Linked DNA regions of Pelodiscus sinensis. The protein of the gene in region 1 purifies or fractionates together with the protein of each later gene. This does not show direct contact. Links are inferred from orthologs where the notes say so. Each region holds a gene or a part of one and is shown on either strand. Other genes may lie near its edges. The genes, in order: MAPK9, MAPK8IP1, DUSP16 and DUSP8.

Region 1 (7,693 bases):
ATTTCAAAGGCTCAGGCACTGCAGGGCCATTCTCCTGCTGGCCCTGCACTCCCTGGGGTGCTTCCGCCTTTGAACTGTAGCAAGAACCCCAGTAGGGCTCTTGCTACTGTTCAAAAGCGGAGTCGCCCTTATAGACTAATCCAGGGGTCTCCAAACTTTTCAGCCCGAGGGCCGCATTAACTATCAAACAGCAGTTCGGGGGCCGACTACACACTTGAGGTCCAAATAAAAAACAATCAAAACATGGATGTTGTTTTAATTATTTAATATTATTTTATTCAGTTATTATTTAATAACACATTGATACACTACACATGAACACCTGTATTAGTGTGAATGGTGAAATTGTTTCCTGGATGCCAAAATAGCAGACATTTCTGGCTTTAGATTTGTTGTCCCTAACATCAACAGTGACCTGAGATTATCATCGGACAAGTTTGTTCTCAAATTGTTCTTCACGTAATTTTTTTTCCGTAGACAAAAAGGTCTCCACGGGCCGGATGAGAGGGCCTCGCGGGCCGCATCCGGCCCGCGGGCCGTAGTTTGGAGACCCCTGGACTAATCGAATAGTCAATGGAAATCCCACTGACTATTCAATTAGTTAATTAATCTAAATTTAACAACCCTAATTCAAGCCCAGGTCCAGCCCTGGTATCGGCTCCGAGCCATGGCTCAGGTTCTATTCCAGGGATGGGGAATCTTTTTGGGGTCAGGGGCCACTGACCCACAGAAATAACAGTTGGGGGCCCGCACGCAAGTGAGAAACAAAAAAAACCAAAAGACTAATCCTCACTGATGTGGCCCTTAACTAAGGAGAAAAACACGTTCCACATTCCCCTCACACACCGGGGCCTGGGGGGCCTAGGCTAGTAGATTCAGTGTGCTCCAGCTCCGTGGGGGAGCGAGAGATTGGGGTGCCAGCACAGGCTCCCCAGTGCTGGAGGGGGGAGCCCTAAGCCTCAGGGGCCAGATCCAGGCAAGCTGGGGCCCACCCCTGCCCTATTCCCAATTGTACCCCTGCTCCCAGGCAGTTATGGCCTGCCCAGGGCCCCACTTCTGGCCACGACCCTAGGCCTGCTTCTGTCCCTTGCTCCTGGCCGCAATTCCAGCCCCTGCTATTGGCCAACTCCCAGCTTTTGGTCCTACTTCTGGTGTCCCAGTTGCGAGCCCAGCTATGGCTCCAAACACCCTGGAGCATTAGGCTTTTAAGAATACACAGTTTTCAAACTAATAATATTGACAGTGAATTAATTCTTGGAAATCAGTAAACTAAGACAGCATAAACTGCTACAACTCCTGGTCTACGTCTAGATTGCATCCCTTTTACGGAAAAGGGATGCAAATTAGACGTATCCCAATTGCTAATGAAGCAGGGATTTAAATCTCCCCCACTTCATTAGCATAAAAATGGCTGCCGCTTTTTTTTTGGCACAGAGCTTTGCCGGAAAAAAAGCGCCATCCTAGACGCAGATCTTTCGGAAAATAAAGCCTTTTCCGAAAGATCCCTTATTCCTTATTTTAAGAGGGATAAGGGATCTTTCGGAAAAGGCTTTATCTTCCGAAAGATCTGCGTCTAGGATGGCGCTTTTTTCCGGCAAAGCTCCATGCCGAAAAAAAGCGGCAGCCATTTTTATGCTAATGAAGCAGGGGAGATTTAAATCCCCGCTTCATTAGCAATTGCGATACGTCTAATTTGCATTCCTCTTCCAAAAAAGGGATGCAATCTAGACATAGCCCTGCCATATACTAAGAGATGTTAAGAGTTTAACCAGTTAACTGATAAAACAATACTTATTGATTAATGTAACCAGTAAAATGCTGCTCCCCTGGGGAATTGGCTGCCCCTCCCTCCTACCCCCACCACGGCTTTACATTTGAGCTTGGAGCCTGCAGGCAGGTTCAGTCCAGGCACATGCCGGGTCTTGGCAGCTGACCCCACTCTGCTGCAGCTCTGCATTTCTGCCTGCTGCCTCCAAATTTAAATGCAGAGCCGCAGCTTGACAGCAGGACCAGCTGCTGGGACCAGCACATGCCAGAACTGAGTTTGCCAGCTCCTACTGCAGAACCCACTGTGGGCTTAGTACATCCCCAGGCTAAACTAACAGTTAACCGCAGACCCCATAAGACATTTAATGGGGTTGCAGGCAGTGTAATATGGGCACTGGTGTGGCGCCTCAGGAGAAATTCAACTGCAGCCCAGCAGAGCGCCCACAGCTATGTTTTGTTTCTATGGTGGTGCACATTTGCACATGCTTCCGTGCTCATAACATTATTCCACACGTGGATGGGATTGCTGAGAGGGAACACCGGCCGGGGGGGGGGGTGTCATTTTTGTCGCCAGAAGAGGGTAGCGGGGTTTAGAGAACCCCGCCCTGCACTAGACCCACAAGAGCCGAGTCGTAGCGGGCCTGTCCATCACGGCTGCTCGTGTTCTCCGGCGGAGCCGGGTCGCAAGGACTTTCCCACGGAGCGATCCCACCCGCAGCGGCGACAGCTCGCCCTGCAGTTCGGCTACTCGCGCGCCGCCCTCCCTCCGGCGGCACCTCCCGGCCGGGCGGGCGGGCGCTCACCTGAGGCGGGAGGATGCGAGCCGGGCAGGAGCTCGCGGCTCTGACAGACTGCGGCAGCGGGGGGAGGGGGCCTGGCGAAAATACAGCGCCCCGGCCCGCTGCGGGGGAGCTCCAGGGCCAGGCCGGGCCCCAGAGCGCGGGAGGAGGGGCGGCAGGGAAAGTTTCCGGCGACAGCTTCGCCCTGAGGGGAGGCGGGCTCGCGGCACCCGCGCGCAGTGGCGGGCGAGGGTCTCGCGCGAGCCGCCGCCCCCTCCCCCAAGGCCTGGAGACTCCTCCCCCCTCCCCGTTCCGCCCGCCAACGGAAACCGCCCGGCCGTTGGTTCCCCTTCTCCCCCGCACCGCCCCTCCCCCCTCACCGTCTCCGCCTGAGGCTCGGCGCGCGGGTCCTGCGGTCGCCGCTTCGCTTCTCCGCCTGCCCGGGCCTCCCTCGCCACAATGGCCTCTCTCGTCACAGCCCCCTCACGGGCCGCGCCAGGTCCGGACCCGCTAACAGACAGCCACGCCGCCCAACCACTGCTCCCCGCTCGCCGGCCGCAGCCAATCAGGCCGTGGGGGCGGGCCGCGCTAGCCACTACATAAGGAGGGTGGGGGGACTGCAGTAGAGGCGGGAGGGTCTGAGGGATCGTTTTCTGGGTGGCAACGGCAAGCTCCTCGTGGTGATGACGTCACCAATCTGTGTTAGCCTGTTCCCGTTGTTGTGATGTCATAAGTGTGATGTCATCTCACACCACAATGCCAGTCAACGCTTCAGGGCAAAGCACCAGTGTCAGGTAGGGTTGCCAGGGGTCTGGTTTTGTACCAGACAGTCCAGTATTTGAGCTTTCTGTTCCCGCAACAGATTGAGAAAATAGAAATGTCCGGTATTTTCTAAATAAGATGCAGTGTAGATTGTGATGTAATGTCAAGTGTGTCCGGTATTTTTATTGAAACCAGCTGGCAACTCTACTGTCCCCAGGGTGGCGAGGTCAGTCCCTCGCAGCAAACGGCTGTCGTGCCTAGCCCTGACGTCATAAGAAGACCCTCATGTTGCCACATGCTGATGCCATCCCTTCCTGTCAGGATGGAGCTGGGCGCTCATTGCATCACAATGAGTCTGCTTTCCATCAAAATTGTAGGAGACTGTGATAGGAGGTGACCACTCTGCTGCTACCGAACCATTCCAGTGATTCGGCAATGCATGGCTGCCACATTTCCTTACCGCATAGCCACCACTGGAAAAGGGGGAAGGAGGTCACTGTAGGTAGCACAGCCTCCCCCACTCTGTTAGTTGTTAAACATATGAATAGCTCTTGTAATCCACAGCATTGGTGTAAAATGCCACAGTATGTGTTTAGAGTAGAGGATGACTGAGCATTAAAAGCCCAGTGAGGGGAAATATTTAGCCACCGAACTCACAAAAATCTACATTACAAGCCTGCTCTTCCGTACTCATTCCCTCCCCACCTCAATCTTCAGACTGCTTGCTTTGTAAAACTGCTACTGACTAAAAAAATACAACCTTAACACAATCTACATCAATGGGTGGTAAGTGACTCAATGCTTGTGATGGGCTGGACCCCCTGGTAGGCTGAGGTAACACTGAGCTTGCCTTTTCTGCCAGTCTGGGCATCCTTTAATCCTGTCTCCTTGTGTCAGGCTCTTAAACGTCTTCAGAGCACGCACACACAGGGGTTGCACCCAACTGCAGCATGATACCGACATTGATACCAGCTGTGGGAAGGCTCAGTTTAAGGGACTTGCCACAGCACGCAGGTGGCCACCTCCCTTAAAGTGCAAGCCCAACATTATATGAAAATCTGCCTCCTCTGTTGATGTGGAGTAAGATATGCAAAATTTCTCTCCCCCACTGCCACTAGAAATTACATAAACTGGGATATATTGTAAAGAAATAAGTTTAACTACATAAAGATTGATCTAAAGTGTTTATAACAGATAGCAATCTGCTCTTCTCTTTGCTAAGAAAATACAAAGCATGCAAACTGCTTAAGTCAGTTGGCTAACAAACAATAATGCCTCACCCTAGATATTATTTAGGTAGATTATTTTACAGGCCAAGTATCTTGCCAGCCTGAATCAGGCAATTCTTCTCCCACCCTGTTCCGGTCCTTTTATTTCCTGTTATTTTCAAGCATCTCTTTGGGTGTGGAGGCAGAGGAGAAGCAAACTGAAGGCTTTGATTGTTTTCCTCTTCCATCTTATAGGATTTCCATACGGCACAAATCCTTTCATTCCCCCATCTCCCAAGTGGAAAAGTCCAACACTCAAAGATGGAGGCTAGTAACAGGTGACCAGATCACTTAACGCCGTAGGATCACAGCATCCATGAGTCAGTGGCAGTATGGAATGTCCCCAGGAAGGCCAAGTCTTTTCACACAAAAAAACTTAAAAAAACAAATAGTCTTGCAGGACCTTAATGTTTTTTCAGTTAGGGTATGTCTACACATCAAAGTTATTTCGAAATAACAGCTGTTATTTCTAAATAAATTTCCTAGTGTCTGCAAGCCAACCGCTATTTCGAAATTAAATTGAAATAGCGGAGGGCTTATTTCGAAATTGGTAAACCTCATTCCACAAGGAGTCACGCCAATTTCGAAATTGCTATTTCGAAATAAGTGCTGTGTAGACACTTATTTCAAAATAGGGGGCCTCCAGCCCTTCCCAGGGTGCCCTGGTGGTCACTCTGGCCTCAACCAAGAACACTCCTCTCCCTTCCCCACTTCCCCGGAGCCCTTAAAGAGGTAGACTCTGGCCACAGTGCCTGTGCCAGCTCCAAGCCTGCCAGCCCAGAGCCAGCAGTCACTACTCCTGACCTAGTGGCCCCAAAACATGAGCCAGCAAGCCACTGGCAGCCAGTCCTCCACCACTCCCCAGGAGCAGTCTGCCAGCTCCCAGGAGCTTGCCAGGGCCTGGAGAAGGCGGGCACCTTCCTGATCCAGTGCGGAGATCATGGACCTTATTCAGGTTTGGGGGGGTGCCCCCAACGTCCATGATCTCCACACTAGATGGGGGAACGCGGCCATCTATGGCAGGATAGCTGCCAGCCTGGCCACCAAAGGCCACATGTGAACCTAGGAGTAGGTTTGCATGAAAATCAAGTTGGTCCGGCGAGATTCCCCAACCCTGAACTTCCCCTCCCCCTTCTTCCCCTTGCTTCCTCCTTCCAGCTCCCTCCTCCCAGGTTTCTCCCTCCCCTCTCCCATCCGCTCTCCTCCTTTCCCCAGTCTCACCAGAGTTTCATCCCACCTCCATTTTGTTAAATAAAGAGAGTTTGTGTTCATGAAAATACATGTATTTTATTTTACATCAAGAAAGGGGGTTAGGGAGTGGTAAGTGGAAGGATATGAGGGAAGAATGACGCACAAGCCCTCAGTGGGGCAGACCAGGGAGGCTCTTAGTGCCCCGTAGGGTGGAAGCTTTCCCGCAAGGCCTCCTGGATACTGACAACCCCCCGATGGACCTCCCGGATGGCAGCCTGCAGAAAGTGCAGTCAGGCTCGCAGCAACGTGTCCACGAGAAGCACCAGAGTGCCCAGGGGCAGCTCTGGTTCCATGTTGCAGAGTGCTGTGGTGTCCCGAGTGAGGGCAACTAGAGCACGCAGAGACAAAATGCTTTGCTGTCCCTCATCGAGGTAGGCAAGCAAGCAGGGAAACCTGAGAATCTGCTGTTCAGGAGGGGTTCCTTTAAGCACAGGCCTCGGATAGCCTCAGGCAGCAACCACACAATCTGAGATCTGAGGAAGTGGGTCTGGCCCACGAAAGCTCATCATCTAATAAACCATCTTGTTAGTCTTTAAAGTGCTACATTGTCCTGCATTTTGCAACCACACAATGTAACTCCTGACCTGATGCCCTGCCAGACCTGGTTCTAGCCGGCCTTAAATGTGATTCAGCGTCCGCTCAGTGTGGACGTGCTATTTCGAAATAGCCAAATGCTATGTTGAAATGCATTTTGTGTGTAGATGCGTTATTTAGAAATATCTTATTTTGAAATAACTATTTCAATATTAGATATTTCGAAATAACACTGTAGTGTAGACGTACCCTTACAGACTAACAGGGGCCCTCTGAAGCCTTTTCACAGTCCATTGCTGTCACTGATGGGCCATCAGCCCTGTCTGGCTTTTCCATTGTTTTACCTGTAGTGTTAGCAGTAGGTGTTACTCTCTGTAGCATAGTTGAAATACAAATAGAAATATTGACTATGTAACTTCAGATACAAAAATGATATAAGTATACAAGTTGGATAGTCACATTCAGTAAATCATAACCTTTCCAATACCTTATCTGAGCCATCTCAAGGTCTCTCTCAATTATGAAGAGTGATAGAAATGTAGCCATGTTAGTCTGGGGTAGCTGAAGCAAAATGCATTTTGCTTCTCTCAATTATGTCATCCATATCATAAGCTTATTTGCATAAAGATATGGAGTGTAACATCACAATGAGCATTTCTACCTCTGTCTAGTCTCCCCTCACTGTAATTTTAAAATTTTTTTTACTGAATTAACGTGCTTTAGACTAGTTATCAAATTGCCTTAATACTGCACTTTTTGGCAATACAAGAAAACTAGCTGCTCAATAAACAGAAGAAGCCCTTTCCATCACCTGCCAAAAAATTCTGTTCAGCAGATGCCATTGGCTTCCATGCCTGATTTTCACTATACCTTTTTTTGGTGTAGTACTGGCTTTTGACAAGTAAAACAAACTGTGGGAGCTTCAGAACTATTTACCAGAAATTACTACAAGCAGCTATTGTAGCACTGTCAAGCCATCCAGTTAAGTATTAAAACATCTCTATTTAAAAGCAACTCTGCAGGGAATATCTTGTATGTATATACAAACAAAAAATTCTTGACAAGTACATGCATGAGCCATTAAAAAAAAAATCACATTCAAAGCTTGAGTTAAGGTAATTCTTGAATGGTCTGCTGTGAGAACTTAGAGCACTTCACTCTTATAGTTAAATTCCCTTGAGGTTTGTAATAGCTCCTCTGTGTTAGCCCGCAACTATGTTTACATAATATAAAAAGTACAAATGCAGAATTTTTGAAAATGCATAATTTAAGATGGGGATTTTTAAATTTTAGATATAGCTTTCTGTATTACCAAAACAATCTTAATTTTTC
Region 2 (7,765 bases), on another chromosome or scaffold:
AACATCAGTTACCCCACTTTGGTTTCCATTTATCCCGTTTCTACCAGGCCTGGTCCAGCAAACTTCAGACCAGTGGGTTCTAGACCTGATAGCAAAGGGTTATTCAATTCTCTTTTCCTCCCTCCCTTCGTCACGGCCCCCCTCACTCCTCCCCATCCCGCTTCAGGAACTCCTCTCACGAAACCCTGCTCAACCTACCTGTTCTGCTAAAACAAGAGGTAGCAAAGCTTCTACACCTCGGAGCAGTGGAAACTGTTCCAAAAGAATTCAAAGGAAGGGGTTTCTATTCCAGATATTTCCTCATCCCTAAAGCAAAAGGGGGCCTTCGCCCCATTCTAGATCTCACGGATCTAAACCCGTTCATATGGAAAACTAAGTTCAGAATGGTCACCCTAGCCTCCATCATCCCCTCCCTCCAGAAAGGAGATTGGTACGCTGCCCTCGACTTAAAAGATGCTTACTTCCATATTACAGTGATCCTTGCCCACAGGAGATTCTTCAGATTCGTAGTGGGTGACGAGCACTTCCAGTTCACAGTCCTACCTTTCGGCCTCACCACGGTGCTGAGTGTATTCACCAAATGTATGGCACCAGTGGCAGCCTTTATGAGGCACCAAGGCATACATGTTTTTCCTTACCTGGACGATTGGCTAATACGGGGGTCGTCTCGAACAAGTGATGAGGCACATCTCAAACACCAGATGACTGTTTCTCCAACTCGGCCTCATAATAAACGAGGAAAAGTCCACCATAATCCCCTCACAAGTAATAGAATTTGTAGGCGCCTGTCTGGACTCCACAACAGAGACAGCATCTCTGCCCAGACACAGATTTCAGACTATGTGATCAGTGATTGTGGGCCTTCAGAGGTCCCCCATATCCACGGCCTGCAATTGTATGTGACTGCTGGGTCACATGGCAGCCTGTACGTACATCATGATGCATGCCAGACTCAGACTGCATCCACTGCAGGGGTGGCTAAGCACTGTCCACAACCCAGTGCGACAGCCTCTGGACATGGTGGTTATTGTCCCAAAATCAGTACTATGCTCGCTAGACTGGTGGACACAGGAGGAAGTAGTATGTGCAGGGGTCCCTTTCAACAAGCAAGCCCCATCTGTGCAGTTAGTGATGGATGCATCAGATGTCAGGTGGGGAGCCCACTTGGGAACCCTAAGGACACAAGGACTATCGTTACTGAAGGAGAATTCTGTGCACATAAATGTCAAAGAGCTCAGGGTGGTCAGGTTAGCATGTCACGGATTCCTGCCCCATCTAGAGAACAAGGTGGTGGAGGTGTTAACTGACAACACGTCAGCCATGTACTACATCAACAGACGGGGGGGTGCTCATTCCTCTCCCCTGTGCAGGGAAGCTCTCAAACTCTGGGAATTGTGCATATCCAGGAACATCTACTTGCATGTAACCTACCTTCCCGGGTCCAGCAACAATCTGGCAGACAGACTCAGCCGTTCCTTTCAAGTCCACGAGTGGATGCTCACGAGAGATAGTTTAGAGAAGGTTTTCCAGAGGTGGGGCTATCCCTTTCTGGACCTGTTTGCCTCCAAGACCAGTACCCAGTGCCGGAAATACTTTTCTTTCATGAGACAGGGAATCAGGCCCTTAGGGGACGCTCTACGTATACAATGACCCACTCAGCTATTGTATGCATTCCCTCTGTTCCCACTAATACAGGACACTCTAGTCAGGGTCAGGCGTTTCAGGGCAAGGGTCATCATGATATTGCCAAGGTGGCCTGACAACACTAGTTCTCCACCCTGAGAGAATTGTCAATAGAGGACCTGGTTCGACTACCCCTAATCTCAGATCTAATCACACAAGATCTGGGGCAGGGGACACTATGCCATCTGAACTTGACGGCCCTCCACCTTAGAGCTTGGAACCTGAGTGGCTTTCTAACCTAGAACCAAGGTACTCACAAGAGGTCCAAAGGGAGAGTAGAAAGCCATCTACCGGAGCCCTTTATGAAGCCAAGTGGAAGAGATTCGCGTTGTGGACACAACAAAGGGGCATTGACTCAATCAGGGCCAATATTCCTCTAATATTAGACTATCTACTATAGCTCAGACACCAGGGCGTCCACCAAGGGAGGGTGGAAGGTCAGTGTTCGCTAACAGCATGGTGAAAAGATTCATGAAAGGAATCAATAGACTATTACCATATATACGTCCCCCTATTCCTCCATGGGACCTTAAGGTAGTCCTTAAGGGACTCATGCGGCCACCATTTGAACCATTAGCCACCTGTTCTTTAAAACATCTGTCATGGAAGGTGGCATTCTTGGTAGCAATTATCTTGGCCAGGAGGGTATCAGAGCTACAGTCTCTTACCTCAGAGCCCCTTACACAGTCTTTTTAAAGTTAAGTTCAGACTACGAACTCACCCGGCCTTTCTCCCTAAAGTGGTATCTTATATCCATATATCCCAGGACATTTACCTGTGTTCTTCCCTAAGCCACACAAGACGACCAGAGAGCAGGCTTTGCATTGCCAGGATGTGAGGAGAGCCATTGCATTCTATATAGACAGGACAAAGGAATTCCGTAAGTCATCACAACTCTTCATTTCCATCACAGAAAGAATGAGGGGAGTTCCAGTTTCAGCTCAGTGCTTATCCTCCTCGATCACCTCATGCATTCATGAATGTTACCATGGAGTGGTAAGACACCTCCCCCACTGAGAGCACATTCCACACGAGCTCGCAGGCGACATCCGTGGCATTTCTGGCACAAGTGCCTATCCTGGACATCTGTAGGGTGGCCACGTGGTCCTCCGTACATACCTTCTCAGAACACTATGCCATTACACAATAGGCCAGAGCAGATGCAGCTGTGGGAAGGGCTGCAATCTGTAGAAAGATATCATTACTCTCCGACCCCACGGCCGGGGACACGACTTGGGAATTACCTGATTGGAATAGACATGAGCAAGCACTCAAAAAAGAAGAGGTTACTTACCTTGTAACTGTAGTTCTTCGAGATGTGTTGCTCATGTCCATTGCAAATCCCACCCACCTCCCCTTCGTCAGAGGACTTTGGCAAGAAGGAACTGAGGGGGTGGAGGGGCCAGCAGGGACATATGTGTGCGGATATGTACCTGGCTGGCCCTATGGATACTGCTAAGGGAAAAAAGCTCCGGGATCCGTGCACATGGCGCACGCACACCTAATTGGAATGGATGTGAACAACACATCTCAAAGAACTACAGTTACGAGGTAAGTAACCTCTTCTTTACCACAGTCGAAAAAACCGCTGTGTTCTTTCGATTTAATTTCAAAAGAACATGGTGGCAGTCTAGACTCGGGAAGTTTTTTCGAAAAAAGGCCACCTTTTTCGAAAAAATCCTGTAGTCTAGACACACCCTCACTGAGGGAGGCTGCTCCAGGCTGCCTAGCCCAGCACATACACAGTGGCTCAGGCTGTCTTGTAATCTGAGCCTAGGTGGGAGATGCAATCAGGTAACATCTTTTGTTGAGAGGGGGCGGGAGCTGGACAAAGAGGGAGGCGGGGCTGCCTGCAGGGCTGGGACTGGTTGCTGGGTTTGTGAGTTAATATCAGCTGGCTTAGGAATCAGGATGGAGGGCATCTAGCTGGCTTGGGAGGCTCTGGGCCCCTCTATTGCCAAAATGGATTGTACTGACTGCTCCCAATTCCTGTGTACCCTGTGAACCAATAAACCTTTTGTTCTGCCTGCTGGCTGAGAGTCACATCTGGCTGCAGATGGGGGTTCAGGGCCGGATGGCTCCCCACGCTCCATAAGAGGCTTCATGTATGTTATTTCCTTAAGCAGTGCTACTAAAGTTATGAAAATGATTTAAATGCCATCTCAGCATGGACTCAATATGGCGTTTTTTCTAGACCTGGTGGTATGGTTAAAGGAGGGGAGGAGTAGAAATAGTTTAAAGAGCAAGGAGTAGAAATAGTAGGTTAGTGGACCCTGCCATGAATAGAAATGGTTCCACCTCTTTCTTTCAATGAAAATTGTTTGAAATCTGGCTTTAAACCTCCCCCTGCTGTGACCATAATGCAAACAGTTCCTGAGTAGCAGTAATTCAACCATCTCTAGGGACAGGCATGCTTCAGGAGGGCAAACTCTGCTTTCATCAATGTCTGAAAAATAGGATCTACCATCCCCGTTTGGGTCAGGGTGCTGATGAGGCATGGAGGGGGAGGGGACAGGCAAGCCTGGAAAATTAAAATACCTGTTGATTTTATTATCTTGCCCTTTCCAGGCCCCTTGGAGGCTACTGCCTAGCAGCTTTGGCTGCAGCCTACCCCCTCTGCTGGCTCTAACCCCGGCTGCATTTGCAGGGCCCCCGCAGTTGCTTGGCTGTAAGTAGTGGGTTGAGGGAGGGGGGTCTGGTGCCTGCAGTCCTAACGGCTGTGCTGAGACATTGGGTGGGGAGGAGTGGGGTGCTACCCTGGAGGTCTCCAAGATGGGAAGGGAGTGTTCGGTTTTGTAGGAGAGGGTCATTGGTTCCTTTTCCCCCTCCTACTCCTTGGATCTTCAAGAGGTCAGGGACTGCACCTGCTTTTATGTAAGGACCCATCCACTCCTCTCACTAGGAGCCTTTCACAGAGAGTAGTAGGACGCTTCATCACCTGTCAGCCTTCTTCCTCAGCCGCTGCCACCCTCATCCTCACCCACTGCCAGCCCCACACATCCCTCTCCCTGCGAGATCCCGTTTCCCAGCCCAATCCCCTCCCCCCTCGTCCTCCGCTCCTCCCTTTCCCTCCCCTCCTCTCCTTAGCCTTCGCCAGCCCATCCCCTCTCTCCTGCTCCTGCCTTCCCCCCGCTCCCTCCCTGCCGCCTGTCCCGGGCGCTCCTCGAGGAGCAGGACGCGCCCAGCCGCTGCTTCCTCCTCCCGCGTGGGGCTCCTGGGCACCGTCGACCTGCTGCAGCTCGCCCGGCGGGAGGGGGAGCCAGGCTGCGGCAGTCCCCTGGGGGCTCCTCTCGGGCAGTTCGGCCTCCGGGGGCTTCGGCTTTGAGCGGCGCCCTTGGCTGCCAGCCCCCGGGGCCTGCCGCAGGTGAATTCCTGCCTGGCGGCCCCGCTCTGCCCTCCCCTGCCAGCGTCGGCAGCATCCGTCTCCCCTCCCTCCGCCTGATGGAGAGAGAGAATGGCGGAGCGAGAGAAAGGAGCCACGTCCCCGGCCGGATCCTCTCCCTTCCTGGGGCTGCACCTCGCCTCGCCCCCCAATTTCAGGTACCGCAGCCTCCCCGCCCCCGCCCCTCTGTCCCTTTCCTGGGGGGGGTCGCTGCAGATCTTTGGCGCAGCCCCTTCCCCCCCCCATCGATCCCCGTTGTGGGCACAGGCTGCAGGCGCCTCTGCGCCCCCGGCCGCTGGCAGAGGCTGGGAGCTGCGGCGGTGCCCGTTCCCCACCGAGGAGGCTGGGCGAGGGAAGGGGCAAAGGCCGCCCCACCCCCTCCCCCGAGCGGGCATGCACAGGCTGTATTGCCGGGGCGGAACAATGACTGCCTGGGGCAGCCGGGTCCCGTCTCCCTGCCCCACAGCTGGCTCGGGGCAGTGTAACCCCTCCCCTCCCCCGGCCAGAGGGTCAGGCCCCGTCCCTGCTCGGGGCTGCGAAGGAGCCGTGTGCCCTGGAACAGGTGGGGTCTGCGGGGAGCGCTCCTGCTCTCTCGGGCAGCCAGGCGAAGGCTTGCGCCCTGCAGCTCAGTGGGGAGGGCTGGGCTCTGGGCAGCACAGCGGCAATCTGCATGGTAGGCAGTGTTTTTCCTGCTGGCTTTGTGTGTGTGTTGTGAGGGAGGGATGGAAATGCACACACAAGCATCCCCTCTCCAACCCGAAATCTCGCCACAGCATCCTGGAGCACCCCCGACCCTGGAACCCTCCCGTTATATTCCCCTCCTACCTCCCACTCATGCTTCCCCAACACCTCCCACCCAACCATCCACACCTACTTCCAGTCATCTCCTCCCACACTACTTCCAAATCCTATTTCCCATGGAAGCCCCAGAACTGCCCCCATTTTCTCTCCCCCACACACACTTTCTCCAACACAGAAGACTTCACAGCCAAAAAACACACCCCCTTCCCCAAAACAGATTTCCTCCCCAGGAAATACTTCCTTCCTCCTTCTTTCCTCTTTCTTATGTCACCTCAGAGACCAGGACCCCTGTGTATGCTCCTAGGTACAGACCTGAAACAAAACAAACCCAGGAGAGTGTTGCAGATTTAGAACCGATCCTCTCAGAAATACCAAAACCCCCCATCTATTTGGGACATAGAGCCCTTTTAATTTGAAGGCTGTGAAGCTGTTCACAACATGGGCCTAACAGCTCCAGGCAGATGCAGGGATAGGAGCAGAGGGGGACAGCAGAACCTACAGCTGCCTAGCTGAGATAAGGATACAGGTAGGCTTGGGTGGCAGGATGCCTGCCAGTTTGACTTCTGAAGAGCTGAATTAGCAAAGGGGTGCACAGGGGGCAGCACCTGATATTTGGTCTTGCATAGGCCATGCCACTATTTTTCCTGTGATTTGAGGGGCTGATGTAGTTTGTTTTTCTGAAATTCTGAGCAAGTGTCATCTGGTTATCAGATGTGTGTTTCATGAATGGTGGGGCACTAAGCCTAGAACTGAGTCTGAGCTGGGTAGGGAGATGAGACCTGTACTGTATTGTATATACTTATACTGAGAAATGCTGTTATCAGAGGTTAATGTTTCACATGTAATTCTGTGATGTGTCTAGGAGTCTGAGAATTGGGGAAAGGGAATATCTGCCATTATTTTGAGGGGAAGCTGGCATGGTGTTTGGACATTGTAAGGCAGGGTGAGAGCCCTTGTGCATACTGTCATTAGGTTCTAGTGCTTCCTCTGCTAAACAGCTTTATGGGGCTCTGCAAAGAGTAGCCCACTCTCTTCCTTTTAGTTCTAATGCTGCCTATTTGAATTGTCTGAAGCCATTGCATGCAACATGGGGGCGTGTTGCATGCAAATTAAACAATTCAAGCTGCCTCTGGAAGGGTCCACCATGAGGAAGAGTCTCAGCCACAGAGCTGGATAATGTGAGTCTAGCAGCAAAGCTCAGCCTGGTCCCGTGACAGTCTCAGGCTTGCTGTGTGCTGCTGTCCTAGATACAACATTTGTCTCCTGGGCTCTGTCCTCTCAAATGTAAACAGCAACACCCAGGGAAGGAAGAGCATGGTGTCATCTCCTTCTGTTGTCCAGGTCTCCAGAAGTGGAGTCCAAATGCTCAAGAAGCAACTTTTAATAGGAAAGGGAGCTGGGAATAGTAAGACCTTGTATGGGGAGAAATCTCAGGGCTCTGACACAGCGGGGAGAACTCAGAGGTCTCTGAAGTTAGGGAAAATCATTCCAGGAGCCCTGAGTTTGGGATCAGGTTCCTGGGATTCATGGAAACAATTCTGACATCTCTGAACTTGGGGTGAATTTTGAGGACCAGAGATGATGAAATATTTACGGGTGTGCAGGGGTTTTGGACCCCAACCCTTCTCCACTTTTCCCCACCAGGGTGTTTTATCTGGCAGGTGTAAGCACTGAGGAGTATTGGAAGGGCATGTGAACAGAGCGTATCTGGTGTGACAGAAGACTTTCTTGATCTATCCTTATACTGTAGCCAACACAGCTCCACCATCTGTGAGAGTAGACCTTACACTCTTGGGTTGCCTGGGGACTTCCATTCTTGGCTGAAAAGGACAGCAGAGACTTCATTCCAGGGTGCAGAATCAGATTAGCTCATTAAGTGAGGTGCTGAATGAACCATGA
Region 3 (7,637 bases), on another chromosome or scaffold:
TCAATATTTTTTTTTCAGTATTGCTTCCCTAAAGAGGCAGTGGCATATGCTAGTGAGATGAATGTCAAGCAACTGAGATCAGTTGGGGGACAATCAGTATTTGGGGCCCAGATGAGTGCAAACTGGCATGAAGAACCAGTAGTTTTTGTAAAATGCTGTTCTCTCAGTAGCTTTATTTCCAGAACACCTTGCTCAGATATCCCTCAAGTTTGGACCACTAACACTTCTAAGCACCCCTATGAGACACTGATAGTTTTAAGAGAATCCAAATAACCATGCACATTTTAGAATACTTAGAAGCATCTACTTCTAATCAGAAAATGATGTTCAACCGTGACCATAAAAGCTGGTGCTTCAGTATAGTAGAAGATAAATCAGACATTACTGTTGTTCTTTTTAAGAACATAAGAATGGTCACACTGGGTCAGACCAATCATCCATCTAATCTAACCCAATGTCTTGTCTTCCAACAGAGGCCGCCAGATACTTCAGAGAGAAAGAAGAGATCAGGGCATGTATCTGGTGATCCATTCCTTGTCATCCATTCCCAGCTTCTGACAGAGAAAGGTTTAGGAACACAACCACAAAATTGGGTAGCATCCCTAATCATCTTGTTTCATAACCATCAATGTTCCTACTCTCCATGAATGAAGCTAATTTAATCAGTGTTGCAAGAGATCATTCAAAGGTGAAACAAGCTGTTAATAGCTCTACTATCATAGGACAGAGGAGAGTTAATAGGTTACAAATTGTTGTAATAAGCCAGTATCTGTATTAAGACTGTGATTTTTTGTGTATAGTAATGAATTTAAGTTCACAGGTTTGTCTATTGACTCTGTGGCACAGGTTTCCTTTGATAATGAGTGCTAAGAAGTCAGATATGGAGTGTCCACCCATGGATTATATGGTGTTTTATCTTTTATCATTTTTCTGTATGAGTTAACTTTGAGAACATAGTGATTGTTTGGTTTCATAGTTGTTACTGGGGCATGTAGTGCACTGAATGAGGTACACCACATGGGCTGATAGGTATGTGTGTGACCCTTGGACCTTGAAGGTGTTTTGGGGGCTGGGCGGGAGAGAGGGGAGGGTTGATCATCATAGCAGAGCCTGGAAGTTAAGGTTTTGCATCTGTTGTTGTAACAGAGGTGTAATGTATAGTTACTTTGTGTGATATAAAAAGTATAACAAGATGTTCCAGCTTAACTTTCAATGTCTTTCCCTCAGGGTTTTTATTGCTGCTGTTGTTTTAAATAAAGAGTTTTTCTTTAAACAAAAGTATTTCTAAGATCTGGGCACTGATCTTGCAATGAAGGCAAAAGGAATCCTCACAGCCACAAGGGGCTACGTCTATATTGGCAAGATTTTGCGCAAATACTCTTTAACGCAAGAGTTTTTGCATTAGAGTATTTGAGTAAGAGAGCATCTACACTGGCATGTGCCTTTGCGCAAAAGATGCGCTTTTGCACAAGAGCATCCATGCCAGTGTAGATGCTCTCTTGCGCAATAAAGCTCCGATGGCCATTTTAAACATCGGGCTTTCTTGCGCAAGAAATTGATGTTGCTTGTCTACACTGGCGTCTTGTGCAAGAGGGCTTGTCCCTGAGCGGGAGCGTCAGAGTATTTGCGCAAGAAGCACTGATTTTATACATTAGAATGTCAGTGTTCTTGCGCAAGTACTTGCGGCCAGTGTAGACAGGTGGCAAGATTTTGCGCAAAAGCGGCCACTTTTGTGCAAAATCTTGCCAATGTAGACGTAGCCAAGGTGCTCTACTGGGAAGTCATCTGAAGGGCCTGGAGTCTTCACAATATGGCTGTTTTACTCTTTTGCTTATGATTCAATGTGTTATCATTTTAAATTGTTAAGTACAATTTTTGAAAAGTAATTGAAAATAACTATTGCCAGGTAGGACAATTATGATTAGTTATCGTTTATCTAGCACAGGGTGCAGGGTACCATAAGTTTGGGACCACAGTAAAACAATTACAAGTAAAAACTGTAAAGACTGGACAGAAAAGGGAGGGAACAGAAAATTTCCCCTTTTAGGGCTTGATCCTTGTTCATGCTTAGTTATACTTTACTCCATGATTAGTCCCATCGAACCAATATCTACACCATGTTGTCTAGAGTTCCTGAATGTAGCCACATAGTTAGGGTACTGGTTAGGACTTGGCGGGTGCTGGACTAAAATCCTTGCTCCACCTTTGACTTCATGTATGACCTGAGCAAATAACTCAGAGCTGGTCTCCACTAAGAACTTACATTGGTCTCTCCAGGGCAGGCCTGCACAACATCCAGCCCACGGGCTGCATGTGGCCGGTAGGGGCTCACTATGCGGCCCGTGACGACTACGGACGACGCGGCCTCATCTGATCCGCCGGCCAGGCACAGGAGCAGAGTGCTGCCGGGCTGCCTGCATGCAGCTCCAGCGCAAGGAGGCAGGGCGCAAGCCAGAGGGCGGGACGCAGGCAGACACCAGGACCCTGGCGTGATGTGGCGTCATGATGTTACGGCCGGCGATTAAAAAAGGCTCCGGCAGCTCCGCAAATTGGAAGGCAGAAGCCACGTAGGGGAGGGGAAGGGGTTTGTGCTGAGGGAGGGGGGCAGGTCAAGAGAAAGGGGAAGGCACCAAGGGGCAGGGTGCAAGAGAGACAAATGCCAGGGGGCCAAGTGGAGACAATGAGGAAAAGGGCAGGAGGGGAGGTGTCTGTGGGAGGAGGGACAGGGTGATGCTGGGAGAGGAGAGGGTAAGGGCATTGGGAGCCGTATGTTGTGCAGGCCTGATTTAATTGAAAAATTCTTAATAAAATATCACCTCCCCCCCCAACCTACCCTTGCGGCTAGGGTTGCCAGGTGTCCAGTTTTCTTCCGGACAGTCCGGTATTTGCACTCTCTGCACCGTAAAAAAATTCAGAAAATATTGGACATGTGCAATGTCCGGTATTTTTTGAATTTCCGGCTGGGTACTGGACGGAAGCCTGGTGGCGCCTCCTGCGGTTGTGTGCTGAAGCCAGGCAGCGCGGGGGTTTTTTGTATGCCCGACACGCTTTTTTTTTTTGCTCGACAAAAATTTTTAGCCCGCATGTTCGGTATTTTTTGGGAGACCATCTGGCAACCCTACTTGCAGCCTGCAGCTGTTTTCTTTGGAGTAATATGGCCCTCGCCGCTTTCCGAGTTGTGCAGGTCTGCTCCAGGGTGTGAAATGTCTGGAGAGATGTAGCTATATCAACCTTACCCACAGTGTAGATCAGTCAGAGGTGTGCCGTGGAGAACAGCAGAGTTCAAAATGGCCACCCTTAAAGGGGCAGGCGACTTTTTTTTTGCTCAATAATTTTCCCCCACTCCCCTTTTTTCCCCCTCAACAAAAAATCCTTGGTGTTCCTCATAAAAAAAATTATTGTTTGGTGTTCCTTGGTCTTAAAAAGTTGAAGAAACACTGGTGTAGATACATTTATGAACAGTAGGTCAACAGAGGAATTGTTCCATCACCCTAGCTACTGTCTCTTGGGATCATGGATTACCTAGGCGGACAGGACAACCCCTCCCATCAGGATAGATAGTGTCAACACTAAAGTGCTTCAGTACCACAGCTGCAGCAGCATTTTAAGTGTAGACATACCCTATAAGTTTCTGTTCCTCATCTGTATGATGGGCTTGATAGCATTGCTCTGCCTTACAGAGGTATTGTGAGCATATAAGGGTACGTCTACATTGCAATACTATTTTGAAATAACTAGCACTATTCCAAAATAATTTAGTCCGCATCTACACAGTAGGCAGTTATTTTGAAATGGTGTTGAAATACTGTCAAGCTGGAGGACTTCTTACGCTGACTCCTGTAACCCTCATTGCATGAGGAATGAGGGAAGTCAGAAGAAGAGTGCTCTATCTCAAAATAAGTGTTTTGGAGATGCTTCCTATTTTGAAATTTCAAAATAAGCTCTGCAATTGCTGTAGCTCAATTTGCTTAGTGAGTTAAGCCCTGCAGTGTAGACCCACCCTAAGGGTGCTAAGTGTCCAGTTGAGCTGGAGCTGCTGCTGGTGGTGGTAAAATTCCCTTGTGGAGACATGGCCTGGCTGAGACTTTCCAGGATTGGGTTAAATTGGCCTGTGAAGGAGAAGGCAGGAAAGGGAGAAGGAGGATGCTGGTGAAGGATACAGTAAGAGGGAGAAGGGGGGGGGGAGGCAGTAGGGGGGGGAGAGCAGAAGACAAGGAGGGGGAGGAGGCGGGAAAAGAGGCAGGGAGGGAGGGCAGCAGCGGCTCATTTGAATAGCTGCCTCATTGCACCCGCCGCTCTGCAGGCTCCTCCCAGGGGCTGCCTCAGACACAAAGTATTCAAACACGAGTGCGAGGGGAAGAACGGGGAGTCCCGCCCCCTTTCAAGGCGAGAGAGAAGAGCCAGACACGCCAGGCGTGACACCACTGTGGGGAGCATTAGGTGCAGTGCAAGCATGTGCTGAGGGGGAGGACGCAGCCGGAGTGGGGGGCTGGAGCTACTGCAGAGAGCAGAGTAGGAACTGCTTTGCCAGCGGTGGCTGCCGCTGTCTCCTTGCCCTGCTCCTCTTCCCCCCGCCCCCCCCCCCCGCTCCTTTCGTCTCTCCCTCAGGCTGAGTTCATTCACTGGGATTGGTTTCAAATGACGCCATCTCTTTATTTTTACATCAATGACCTCATCCCAGCAGCTTGAAGTTTACTGACCAGCAAAACTCCCTCCCTCCCTCCCTCTCTCCTCCTCCTTGTGTCTGTTTGTTCTAGCCATTTATTAGTAATTGTGTGGGTCCTTTTGGAACCTTTTTAACTTTCCTTTCCCTCCCCCCTTCAGTTTTGGAAGCTAGCTTGGGGGGGAGAGAAAAACTCCCCACGTTTCCTTTCTCTCTCCACCCCCCCCCTTCCCCTTTTAAATAGATCAGAATAAAGTTTTAAAGAAGAAGAGGAGCCTGGCGCTTTCCAGCGGCTGGAAGCAGAGAAAGTTGGGTCTGGCAGCAACTCCAGCAGCAAAGAAGCTGGTGGTAACTTTTATTCCTTCTCCAGGAAACAAGCGCGCGGGTGGAGGTGGAGCGGGGGGGGGGGGGGTAACTGTTGAAAGCAAAGTAGAGGAAGGAAGGGGGTTGGCAACAGGGTTGGGGTGTCCTCTCCCCATGTTCCTAGGGGGAGCTGCTCACCACAAGGGTCACCCCTATTACGATAGGGACACGACTCTAGGGTGGGCTGAAGCTACGAGTTGATCTCTTTGCAAACAGTCTTTAAAACCCCCGGGTGGGTTGTTCCTCTTTCCCCAGTGTTCTGCTTTGTAGCTGCCTTGGCTTGTGTCCTTTTGGTGGTGGTTGTCTGTGTGTTTCAGTGTGTAGGCCCCAGGAGCAGAGGGAGATAGCAGTTAAATGAATTGGGGGTGAGGGGAAGGTGGTGGAAGCTGCTAGTACTGATGGGCATATGATAATAATCTATGCTGTCTTCTCATCTTCCCACCCAATCCTTTTATTCCTCCCCCCTCATTTTTATTGGCAGGTTGTTTATTTGGCCCTGACTAGTGTACAGTCCCTTTCCCCACCTCATATGGGGTGGAAAAGGGGGGAGTGGACAGATGAGCTGGCAGTGTGGTACACTTTTTAGACATTTAAAAAAAAAACCCACAGAGCCTAACTGCTGAGCATTTTTGATTCTCTTCAACACAGCAAGCTGTTTTGTGGTTGTATGTGGTTTGGTTTGTTTTTCGGTTCACCTTTGGAAAAAGTACATAGCCACCTGTCTTAAATACCAAATTTTAAAGGAGAAGGGACAGAGAGAGAAAAACAGGGTTTCCTTTGTATGAGGCTAGAAAAAGCATGATTTTAAGAACAAGCAAAACATCAGGTAGTTTGTTTACATTAATGTGTATTAAATAAAACAAACTTCAGCAGATGTTTTGGAAATTTTCTGACTTTTTGTGTTTATTTTTACTTCTAGGAACAATAAGTGCATCTGACCCTTTAGATTTAGTAAATAGTCATTTGAATTCATAATTTCAAATATTTAAGTATTTAGAACAATAAAAACACTTTTTAAAATCCTCAAAGTACTATCCAAAACTTTCAAAATGTTTGTAAGTACTGCCTTGAACTTTACTAGATATTTTAACTAAGCAAGCCAACAAAATGGAGGGTTGATGTAGAATCCAAAAAAAATTACCTGTGAAATGTTAGCTTGATTCCATTTTAAATATAGCAATAAAAAAAAGATTGATCTGTGTCTTATATTACTTCAAGCCCTCCTTGGAATTTTTTTCTGAATGTTTTAAGAAGTTATGAGAGGAGGAAACACCCTCACCTTATTCAGCACATGTTGATGTGTGTATGTGACAAGTCTATTGCTTAAGCTGATCAGCAATGTAAACTGCATCTAAGATGAAGGGTGCGGAGCTGTTAAAAATCGTAATATATTTTTTCTACAATTATTGCAGTTCAAATTGATTATACATGTGTACTCTTGCCCCTCTCTTTCTCGTCATCTTTTCCCACGTTTCCAGATGAAAGGGACATCCCTAGCACATTTTACTGCTTGAGCTATGGCTAACTTTTGCTCAAATGTTCAGTGTTTATATACAATATAGTATAAATATATACACACTTTAAACTTGCTGGAGGTATTTTGATCTGTTCCTCACTGAAAGGATGCTTTGGTTCAGGTTCTCTGATTTGTTTTGTGATCTTACTTTTTAAAAGTGTGTGTTTCTCCTGTCAGCATGTGGTTTGGTGAACACAAGAACTTATCAAGTCACAGCTGAACAAAGAGGAGTTGGATATTTAAGGGGTGTATTTTGGGGGAGATTGGAGAAATGTTCAGGATTAATTTCTTTGTGTGGCGTTCACCTTGCTGGCTCGCTTGAAACTGGAGCATTCAAAGCTCTATTCCTGAGGTGAAGTATGAGGGAAGTGTATATGTTTAAAAAGCAAATAGGGTTCTTTTTTAGTGTGAGGTAGGAAGGAGGATGAACCTCTTTTTTTCAATTTTTTGAAACTGGAGAAAATTGTTAAAGATATATTATTCCCAAAGAGATCCTGCAATAACCAGATATGCTTGTTGGTGGTGTTAGCAGGACATCCTATACAAAAATAGAATTTGCAAGAGGTTGAATATACTCTATGCAGTAAGCTTCCTATTACAGTAGCACTTGCACATACCCCGATAGTGTGTCTTTTGCTGTATTTAAAAAGAAGTAATCTAATAGGAAGTGTAAGTTCAAGGTGACAGCGGCAGGATTTTGGGTGGGGGGGGGGTGGCAGAGGAGTTGATATTAAATGTTCTAATGTCTAAACAGGCTGTGCAAGGGTTCTACAAATCCCATTACTTTACTCCCTATTTAGATCACTCTTTCAAAACTCTGCTGGGTCCAGTTTTCTATTTCAGTGATCTAAATGGAAGTACAGGCAGTCCCCGGGTTACGTACAAGATAGGGACTGTAGGTTTGTTCTTAAGTTGAATCTGTATGTAAGTCGGAACTGGCGTCCAGATTCAGCCGCTGCTGAAACTGACCGCCAGTTCTGACTTACATACAGATTCAACTTAAGAACCCCAAGCGTCCCCAAGTCAGCCGCTCCTGAAACTGATCAGCGGCTGATTCCAGGAAGCCCGGGGCAGAGCAACTCTGCCTCGGGCTTC
Region 4 (7,326 bases), on another chromosome or scaffold:
TAGATAGCGATGAATTGAATAGTCCTGTAAGCACATTAAATATTATTGGTTACACAATTATTCGATAGGCCCTGGGGACGTGGCCAGGGAACATGGGCAGTGCACTCCTGCCCCACTGCAGTGCAGAGTGGCAGGCGGGAGCCAGTCTGCGTGGGGAGCAGCGTTCCCTCTAAGATTTTCCAAGCATGAGTGTAGTGAATTGTGGTTTCTGCACCAATATTGAGGTCATGTGCGCTGGTTTGATGTGTGCCACTATGGCACCCAATTTATTAACACACACATTCCTGGCTGCTGGAGCAGAAACTGCCCCCCTCCCCTGCCATGCAGCATGTCCTGTTCCCAGCCGCCGGAGCAGACCTCCTGGCCATGTGGCATGTCCTGTTCTGAGCCTCTGGAGTAGACACCCTGCCCCTCCCACCATGCAGCATGTCCCATTCCCAGCCGTTGGAGCAGTCCCCCCTGGCCATGCGGCAGGTCCTGTTCCCAGCCCCTGCCATGAGAACAGGCCCTGCCACCCCTGCCACGCGGCAGTGCCAGTCACAAGAGTAGTCCCCTCCTCCCCGCCACACAGCTGTGGCATGTCCCAGTGCCCCACCTCAGAGGCTCCCTCACTTTGCTGTCTCAGCTGGCCCTGCCTGCTGGAGCAGCTGTCTGCTGCACAAGTGCTGCTGCGCAGCTTTCCTGGAGGGGGGAGGGGGATTTTTTGTGTGGTTGCCCAGGCGCGAACCTTAGCAGGAAATATGGTGAAAAGCTCGTTTTTAAACTGGCAGCCTCCCCTGCTTCCCTCCTCCCTCCATGCTGCTGCCTGTCCCCCATCACTGTCTCTGTGGGAGGCAGCAGGGGGTGAGGGGAGAGGGCAGGTGGCTCTATGGAGCCGGCATGCGAGGAGAGCCGGCTTAAAAACTGGCTCCTCACATATATGGGCAAACCACTGATCTAGGATCCTTTGCCTCATTGGACTTTTATTGCTATCTACTGTTCCTTCTACTCTGACCAGAAGTCTCCTACCACTGCAAGTAGGGTGTGCAGTGGCATCCTCCTCTCCAGCTCATGTTGCTCTGTTTCAGAACAGAATGCTTGTCAGGATGAGCCAGCTGTGTGGAGAATTCTGACTTGGATCGCATCTTGATAGAACTGCATGGAAATCATATTTAATTTTTTTTCTATAAATTTTTGAAATAATCATCATCAGATTTCAAAAGGCAATGACTTTTCCTCTATTTTTTTCACAATTTTATATGTAACATCTTGGATTTCAAACATTTTCAGATTGTTCTTCCTTCCCCCACCTAATTTGTATGATTTTAATCACTGGCGGGGGGCAAAGTAAGAGAGAGAAAAAAAAAGTTTATGGAAGGGGAGGTATGAAATCCAAGCTATTTATGAAAAACTCCTTGGCTTTGCATTTTCTGAGGACAGTCTAAAAACCTATGAATTTTCATGTGCAAGAAGTCAATTTTTTGTTTGAAATGTTTGACCCACAGTGCACCTCCTGCACTTTGACCAGGTAGAAAGGGCTGCCGTCACAATTGCAAGGCACTCCAAAATTAAGACCCATAACTTTGTTGAAGGAATGTGCTACAAGGCTGAAACGAGGCCAAAGGGAAGAAAATAATATAGAAATTCAGGCATTGGCTGTGCTGAGGATGTTGGTTACCAGTATAATCATGCTGGGGCAAACTTCTAGTGCCGTCAGGACTGTCATAAGCTATGATTTGCACCTGGTGCAAAGAGCAGCTCTGCATAATTGTGTTTGGGGTTTATATCAGCAATGTGACTACAGTGGTCTGGCCATTGATGGTTGTAATTCAGGCCAATCCTTGGTTTAATCCAAGGCTGTAATTGGCACAGTTATACATTTTGAGTGCACATAAAAATGAACTTCCCTTAATAACTTTGTCCCTATTACTCCCAGTGATGGTTGCTCTGCCCGGATGCCTGAGTTATCTCCCGTGATCAATTCTGGTGGCTGTAAAGGGTAACTTGGGGGGATCTCAGTCCTTCCCAGATGGTAGTAGTGGTAGTGCTTTGCATCATGGTAGCCCCTAATGGCTAGGACTGCTTGGTACTATACAAATATATAAACAAAGCTGCCTCTCCAACCTTGCAATCTAAATAACTCTAATAATTTGAAATCCTGATGTGGCCAGCTCATCTGTACATGTCTGGAGAAGAAAGAGTTAATTTTAAAATACATATATCCTTCTCTGTCTTCCTAAGAAGGCAGGAAAGGGGAGGGAGCCTTTCCTTGATTTTGTAAGTATTAGCAAAACCTTTGCTTTTAAAGTTTAATCCCTCTTTAAACTGGAGGCTGTCTGGCCACATCCAATGTCGCAAAGGAAATGACTGCTATTTTTGCAGTTCTCCTGGCTGGCTGGCGATTGTGTGCCCCTGGGATGGCACAGAGGTGCGGCGTTCCATCACACAGCATGACACCCCAACTGCAACATCACCTGAAAGTGTCAGCTCTTCAAGGGGCCCAAACATGTGCTGACTCTGAAGGGTGGCATTTGGGTTTGGTGAGCCCTTACAGTGGACCTGAGAAATGGATATCTTAAATCTCATCTCTCTCCCAGTCTTGCCTTCATGTTCTCTTTCCCCCACCCCTCTAAAGTGAGGAAATCAAATCACAACAGGCCCCAGATTCTGTTCCCATCAGATGCTTGTTTCATGGCTCCTGTGTGGCGTGTTTACTGTTTACAGAAAGTAATTCAGAGGCACAGACAATGCTCTAGGGCAAGGAGTTGAGGCAAGAGTGAACAAACCTCTCTGGCCTAACAGGCCTCAGCTTCCTGAGGCTGGGAGTAATTAAAGCAGAGAGTCCAGCAATAGCTTGGGAGGGTGAAGTAGTCTAGCAGCAAAGAAAGGCTGATTTCCCCATTTCCCTGTTTTATAGGAAGCTGGCTGAGGGGTCTGATCCAAAGGGTCCGTGACTGACTTCAGGGGGCTTGTATCGGGCTGTGAGGCGTGCAGGACAGAAGCTCTTTAAAGAAGGGGATATAGGAGAAGCAATCGCTCAATTGTCCTCTTGTCTTTTTAACACTTCCCAACATGCCAGCAGTGGCCAGTCAGAGAGCAGGGTACCTCAGCTGAAGGGAGTCCCTGCGCCAGCAGGCCCGCTAGCGTTACAGTAGCACCACCCAAGGAATGAACTCTTATAGCTCCCTGCTGCCTGTGGCCGATCACTTTAGTGGGCAATACAAATAAATACTAAGAAGAAAAACAGCCCCACCCAAAGGGAAGTATAGAAGATTGTAAGAGGAGCTTTAAAAAAAAACCAATGATCAGGTCTTTGTGTTTCAGAGGAGCTCCAGGAGGTAGAAGCTTGGAATTCTGCCACAGAAAGAGATGGATAATTTCAGCTCCTGAATCATATTCCATCCACAAAGCGTGGATTTGGGTGTCTTCTTGCTCCACGGTCCCTTGCTATTTTAAGGGTTTATAAATGAAATGTACTTTCCTCTTTCCTCCCAGACAGCCATAAACTGAGCAAGCAGCTGTAGGTCACTCCTTGCATGCTCTGGAGGTGACAGGATCTGTTTCAGGTAAAATCCTATAGGAGGACATTAAGTACATCCTTCTAAAATGAAATCAGATTTGAAAATGTAAGGCTGCTGCATGCTGTATTTCATAAAACATGCTGTCCCCTCCCTTTGGCTTTAGTGGAAAATGTGTCCCAGTTCCTCTCCTGCACAGCAGGGCATATCTGTGTGCCGAAGAAACAAACCTGCACACCCTTCCCCTCCCACAATACATGCCAAATTCATTTAGCATGAGTAGCTTGCTTTACACCGCTGCCCAGCGCTCCAGCCTGCACAGTTCTCCCATCTCCTTCAGCAGATGGTAAGACAGTGCATTTCCCTTTTAAGAGTTTACAGCCTGGGAGGGAATAAATAAAAGGGGAAAAAAACTAGGCCATTGCCCCTTTTAAACTGCAGCTCTGCCTGCCTGTCTCCCTTTAATCTGCACCCAAAGCCCCAGGATCAGAGGCTGACGTCACCCTGCCCCTGAGCCTCCCTCTCTGATTGGCTGGGGGTGACGTCAGGTGCTTTTTTTTCAAGGCATGACCTCATCCTCAGTTCATTTTTAGTTCTAAAGTGCAACCTTCTGTCTTCCTGGATCCCTTCAGCCCGGTTAATGCTTATCTGTGCCATCCTCCCCCAACGCCCCTTCCGTGCAGGGCCATGCCTGCCCCACACTCAGTGGGCTAGTGTTATGCCTACATTGCAGTGGGAGTGCATGTGTGTGTTTGCAAGGGGCTAGGACTTGCATCATCAGCACTTGCAGCAGCCTGGCAGTGCTTCTCATTTGATCATCCTGTAATTGCGTTGAATTATCCTGGCGAATGTGCAGAACTCTGCAATCAGCTGGAGCACCTCAGGAGCGCTGATTCCCCCGGCTGCAGAGGAAGTGCGGCAAGGTACGTGTTTTAAAAATGTAAGGGACGAAGAGGTGGCTTAGGGCTTCTAATCGTGCTCCGTATCTGAATGACCCTGCAGTAGGTCCTAGGGATCGGAGCCGGGGAGAAAATGCAGATGTAGAGGTGTATTTTGTGTAGCTGTGAATTGCACCTTCCTGACGCCAATTCTGTGTAATGCAACACCCGCACGGATGGGCTGCGCGTGTGTATTTACACGCAGTGCTAGGCTCAGGAAGATGCAGTCGCTGGTGCGTGTATTGGTGAGCAGAAGGCACGCGTTGGAGGCAGTATTTGGGGAGATGGAAGGGTGCGTCTTGTGTTACCCAGAGCTGGTAACGAAACAGTGTGAATTTTTGCACAACACTCACCTGGTGCGCGCGCACGCACACACACACACACACAAACATCCCGTGGTGGGTGCTATTGTAATGGAGGGAGCTGCTGACAGGGAGCTACGTGCTTATGCCAGGGCGGTACTTTTGATAGGCGGCCTCACAAAATCCTGCAGGGTGCAAATCAAATGACATGATCCGCCCGCGTGCACGGAGGGGGGAGGAGAACATATGTTTGCGGTTTGCTGGTCTAATACCGTGGGGTTTTACAGAAGAGCCGGGCTCCAATTTGCCTGGGCTTTGCAGGCGCTGACTTACCAGTGTGCTCCCTCCTGGGCCCACCCGCTTGGGAGGCTGGTGTGAACGAGCCTGCGGTTTCTTAAGGATGTGTCGCCTTAGTGTTTGGAGGGAAGAGGCATATGGGGGCTTCCTTGCCATTGCTCGCAGGGCGCTGCTAGTGACCAAGGAGTTAAGCTTGCCCCTTACAATTATTTCCCCGCATTGGCAGGATGGAGCATGAGCTGCGTGTGTGCTGTGATTCAGCACCGAGGGCTGGAAGTGTTGAGATGAAAGATTCCTGGGTTGTGTGTGTGTTTTCCTTATTGGTTAATATATCCCTTTACACAATAAATTCCTGGTCAGTACTTAAAAGCTGACGTCAGTGCTTCAGTCTGCATTAGGGGAGCTGCAGGGCTGTAATTTGTGGTTTTGTTGTGAGGAAGGAGGTGCTGCAGCACTCTCTTCTGTTAAGGACGTTTGGATGTGCTTGCTGGGTGCAGCCCATGATGCATGTTTATTTGTATTGCAACAGAGGCTAAAGAATCTCAGCCCCATTGTCCTTAGTGGTGTGAACATACAGACATACCCATCAAAAAAAATCAGTTCCCTGTCCTGAAGAGCTTGCAGTCAAAAATAAGCTGCAGACTTGTAGCCAGAGAGGAAGTTTCAGACATACAGGCAGAACGGTAACCGGGTTAGCCGTGTTAAAACCAGATAAGTCTTAAGATCACAATGTTAAAGATTTTGATTGGCCACCTGATGCTTTTTCAGCCGGGTAACAGGCACTCTCACTCCTGCAATGAGTTTGTCAGTGACCGTTTGACTTATTTTGGCCTTAGTTTGATAGGAGGTGAAAGCCTGGTTGTCTGCCAGTTAAAACAAACCTGCCCCTCAACACATTTGGAAGCTCTGTACCCAGTAGCTCACGCTAAAGCTTAGCCTTGTCAACACCAGGAAGGGTTTGCTGGTACAGCTATAGCCCTTCCACTTACATTCTTATGTAGAATAAGCTGTACTGGCAAAATGAGACTGGAAGCTCTTCAGAGCAGAGGCTGTCCTTTTTGCACTGTTAGTACAGGTACTATGTTATTACAATAGGATTTTGTCAGTGTCACTGCCTACACCAGGGCTTTTGCTGGCATGGTTATTTTGGTGGGGGGGGTGTGACTTTTTTTTCTCAAGTGACCTGGCTTGGATCTACACTTGAATTTTGACCTGGAGTTAGCTCTAAGTTTGTCAAGTGACTCTGGACACTCCAAAACTGTTTTCCAAGACAACTTCTATTGAACATTGATAGGTTTTTACTCACTGCATCTAGTGCATCTGCCTTGGATGACTTTGTCTTTGCTAGCCTCAGTAGCATGATCACTATAGTCCTCTCCTCTAACATCATGCCTTTAAATCTGAGCCTACACAAGGCCTTAGGTATCTACATTAGTGGCCAGATTTTTCAAAAGCACTTAACAAAGGGAAATGCTGAGCATACCTGAAAATATGGCCCCTAATGCTTATCTGCATAGCACGGAACAAAGGCTGTGAGGTACCCAGCAGACAATAATGTTTGGAGAGAGTTTACAGTCTACCTTTGGACACCACACAGCTCATGATAGTAAAATACAATAGGCGTTAGGATGAAACTTCTTAGTCATCCATCTCCCTTGTTGCCAAATGACCTCTCGGTAAACTGGAGAGCCCTACATTTAAAAACCAAACAACCTTTGGGGACGAAATACATTCCTTTCCCCAAACTGAAGAAGCTTCTCATGGTATGAGTGGGATGCAGCTAGATTCCACCTCATTTCCTCCCAGCCTTATCAACAGATGCAGCTCTAATGTGTACACAGCTATGAAGTGGTTAGATTTGGCCCCCCTCTGAGTTTTTGTAAGGGTGTCTGAGCCAAATCCTCCACCGCTGTGAAGCTGGGTAGCACCTGGCTCCAAAAGGGGTGAGCGATCTGTGCTAAGGTGCATGTGATGAAGTAGCAGATGTGTAAAGATGAACTAAAGTGCTTGGAAAGCGGCATTTTATTTAGTCTCCCAATGTCTTTGCTTTATGACCGCTGCTCATAGGCACCTATCATCACTATTGTATTTGAACTGCTTTTGGGAATTGAAACCAATTGAGAAGAAGGTGGCGATTGAGGAAGGGATCTAGTAAATAATGGCTTATGCTGATGAGGGATGGAGTGGAGGTGGATGAAAATAGTCTAAGCCTTTGTAGATCTTTTATCCTGGGCTGTGAGTTTAAGGGCAACATTAACTGGAGAAGGGGAATCAACAGAAACAAATGGTTCT

What was found.
Region 2: the proteins of MAPK9 (region 1) and MAPK8IP1 purify together in Homo sapiens (affinity purification with western blotting; 4 studies listed by BioGRID and IntAct, counting the BioPlex papers as one, with this or other methods). This does not show direct contact. The link is inferred for Pelodiscus sinensis from reciprocal best matches to the Homo sapiens genes MAPK9 and MAPK8IP1.
Region 3: the proteins of MAPK9 (region 1) and DUSP16 purify together in Homo sapiens (affinity purification with mass spectrometry; 6 studies listed by BioGRID and IntAct, with this or other methods). This does not show direct contact. The link is inferred for Pelodiscus sinensis from reciprocal best matches to the Homo sapiens genes MAPK9 and DUSP16.
Region 4: the proteins of MAPK9 (region 1) and DUSP8 purify together in Homo sapiens (affinity purification with mass spectrometry; 4 studies listed by BioGRID and IntAct, with this or other methods). This does not show direct contact. The link is inferred for Pelodiscus sinensis from reciprocal best matches to the Homo sapiens genes MAPK9 and DUSP8.

The regions. Positions count from the first base shown.
Region 1 is NC_134727.1:33,230,011-33,237,703, forward strand, and holds the start of MAPK9 (mitogen-activated protein kinase 9), read right to left. Parts: upstream 3,123-7,693; 5' UTR 2,927-3,122; intron 2,863-2,926; exon of another isoform or gene 2,571-2,862; intron 1-2,570. UniProt on the Homo sapiens protein: Serine/threonine-protein kinase involved in various processes such as cell proliferation, differentiation, migration, transformation and programmed cell death.
Region 2 is NC_134714.1:83,261,407-83,269,171, forward strand, and holds the start of MAPK8IP1 (C-Jun-amino-terminal kinase-interacting protein 1), read left to right. Parts: upstream 1-4,431; 5' UTR 4,432-5,124; coding exon of another isoform or gene 5,125-5,137; coding exon 5,138-5,223; intron 5,224-7,765. UniProt on the Homo sapiens protein: The JNK-interacting protein (JIP) group of scaffold proteins selectively mediates JNK signaling by aggregating specific components of the MAPK cascade to form a functional JNK signaling module. Required for JNK activation in response to excitotoxic stress.
Region 3 is NC_134711.1:128,538,895-128,546,531, reverse strand, and holds the start of DUSP16 (dual specificity protein phosphatase 16), read left to right. Parts: upstream 1-4,381; 5' UTR 4,382-5,008; exon of another isoform or gene 5,009-5,011; intron 5,012-7,637. UniProt on the Homo sapiens protein: Dual specificity protein phosphatase involved in the inactivation of MAP kinases. Dephosphorylates MAPK10 bound to ARRB2.
Region 4 is NC_134714.1:116,978,730-116,986,055, forward strand, and holds the start of DUSP8 (dual specificity protein phosphatase 8), read left to right. Parts: upstream 1-4,107; 5' UTR 4,108-4,420; intron 4,421-7,326. UniProt on the Homo sapiens protein: Has phosphatase activity with synthetic phosphatase substrates and negatively regulates mitogen-activated protein kinase activity, presumably by catalysing their dephosphorylation.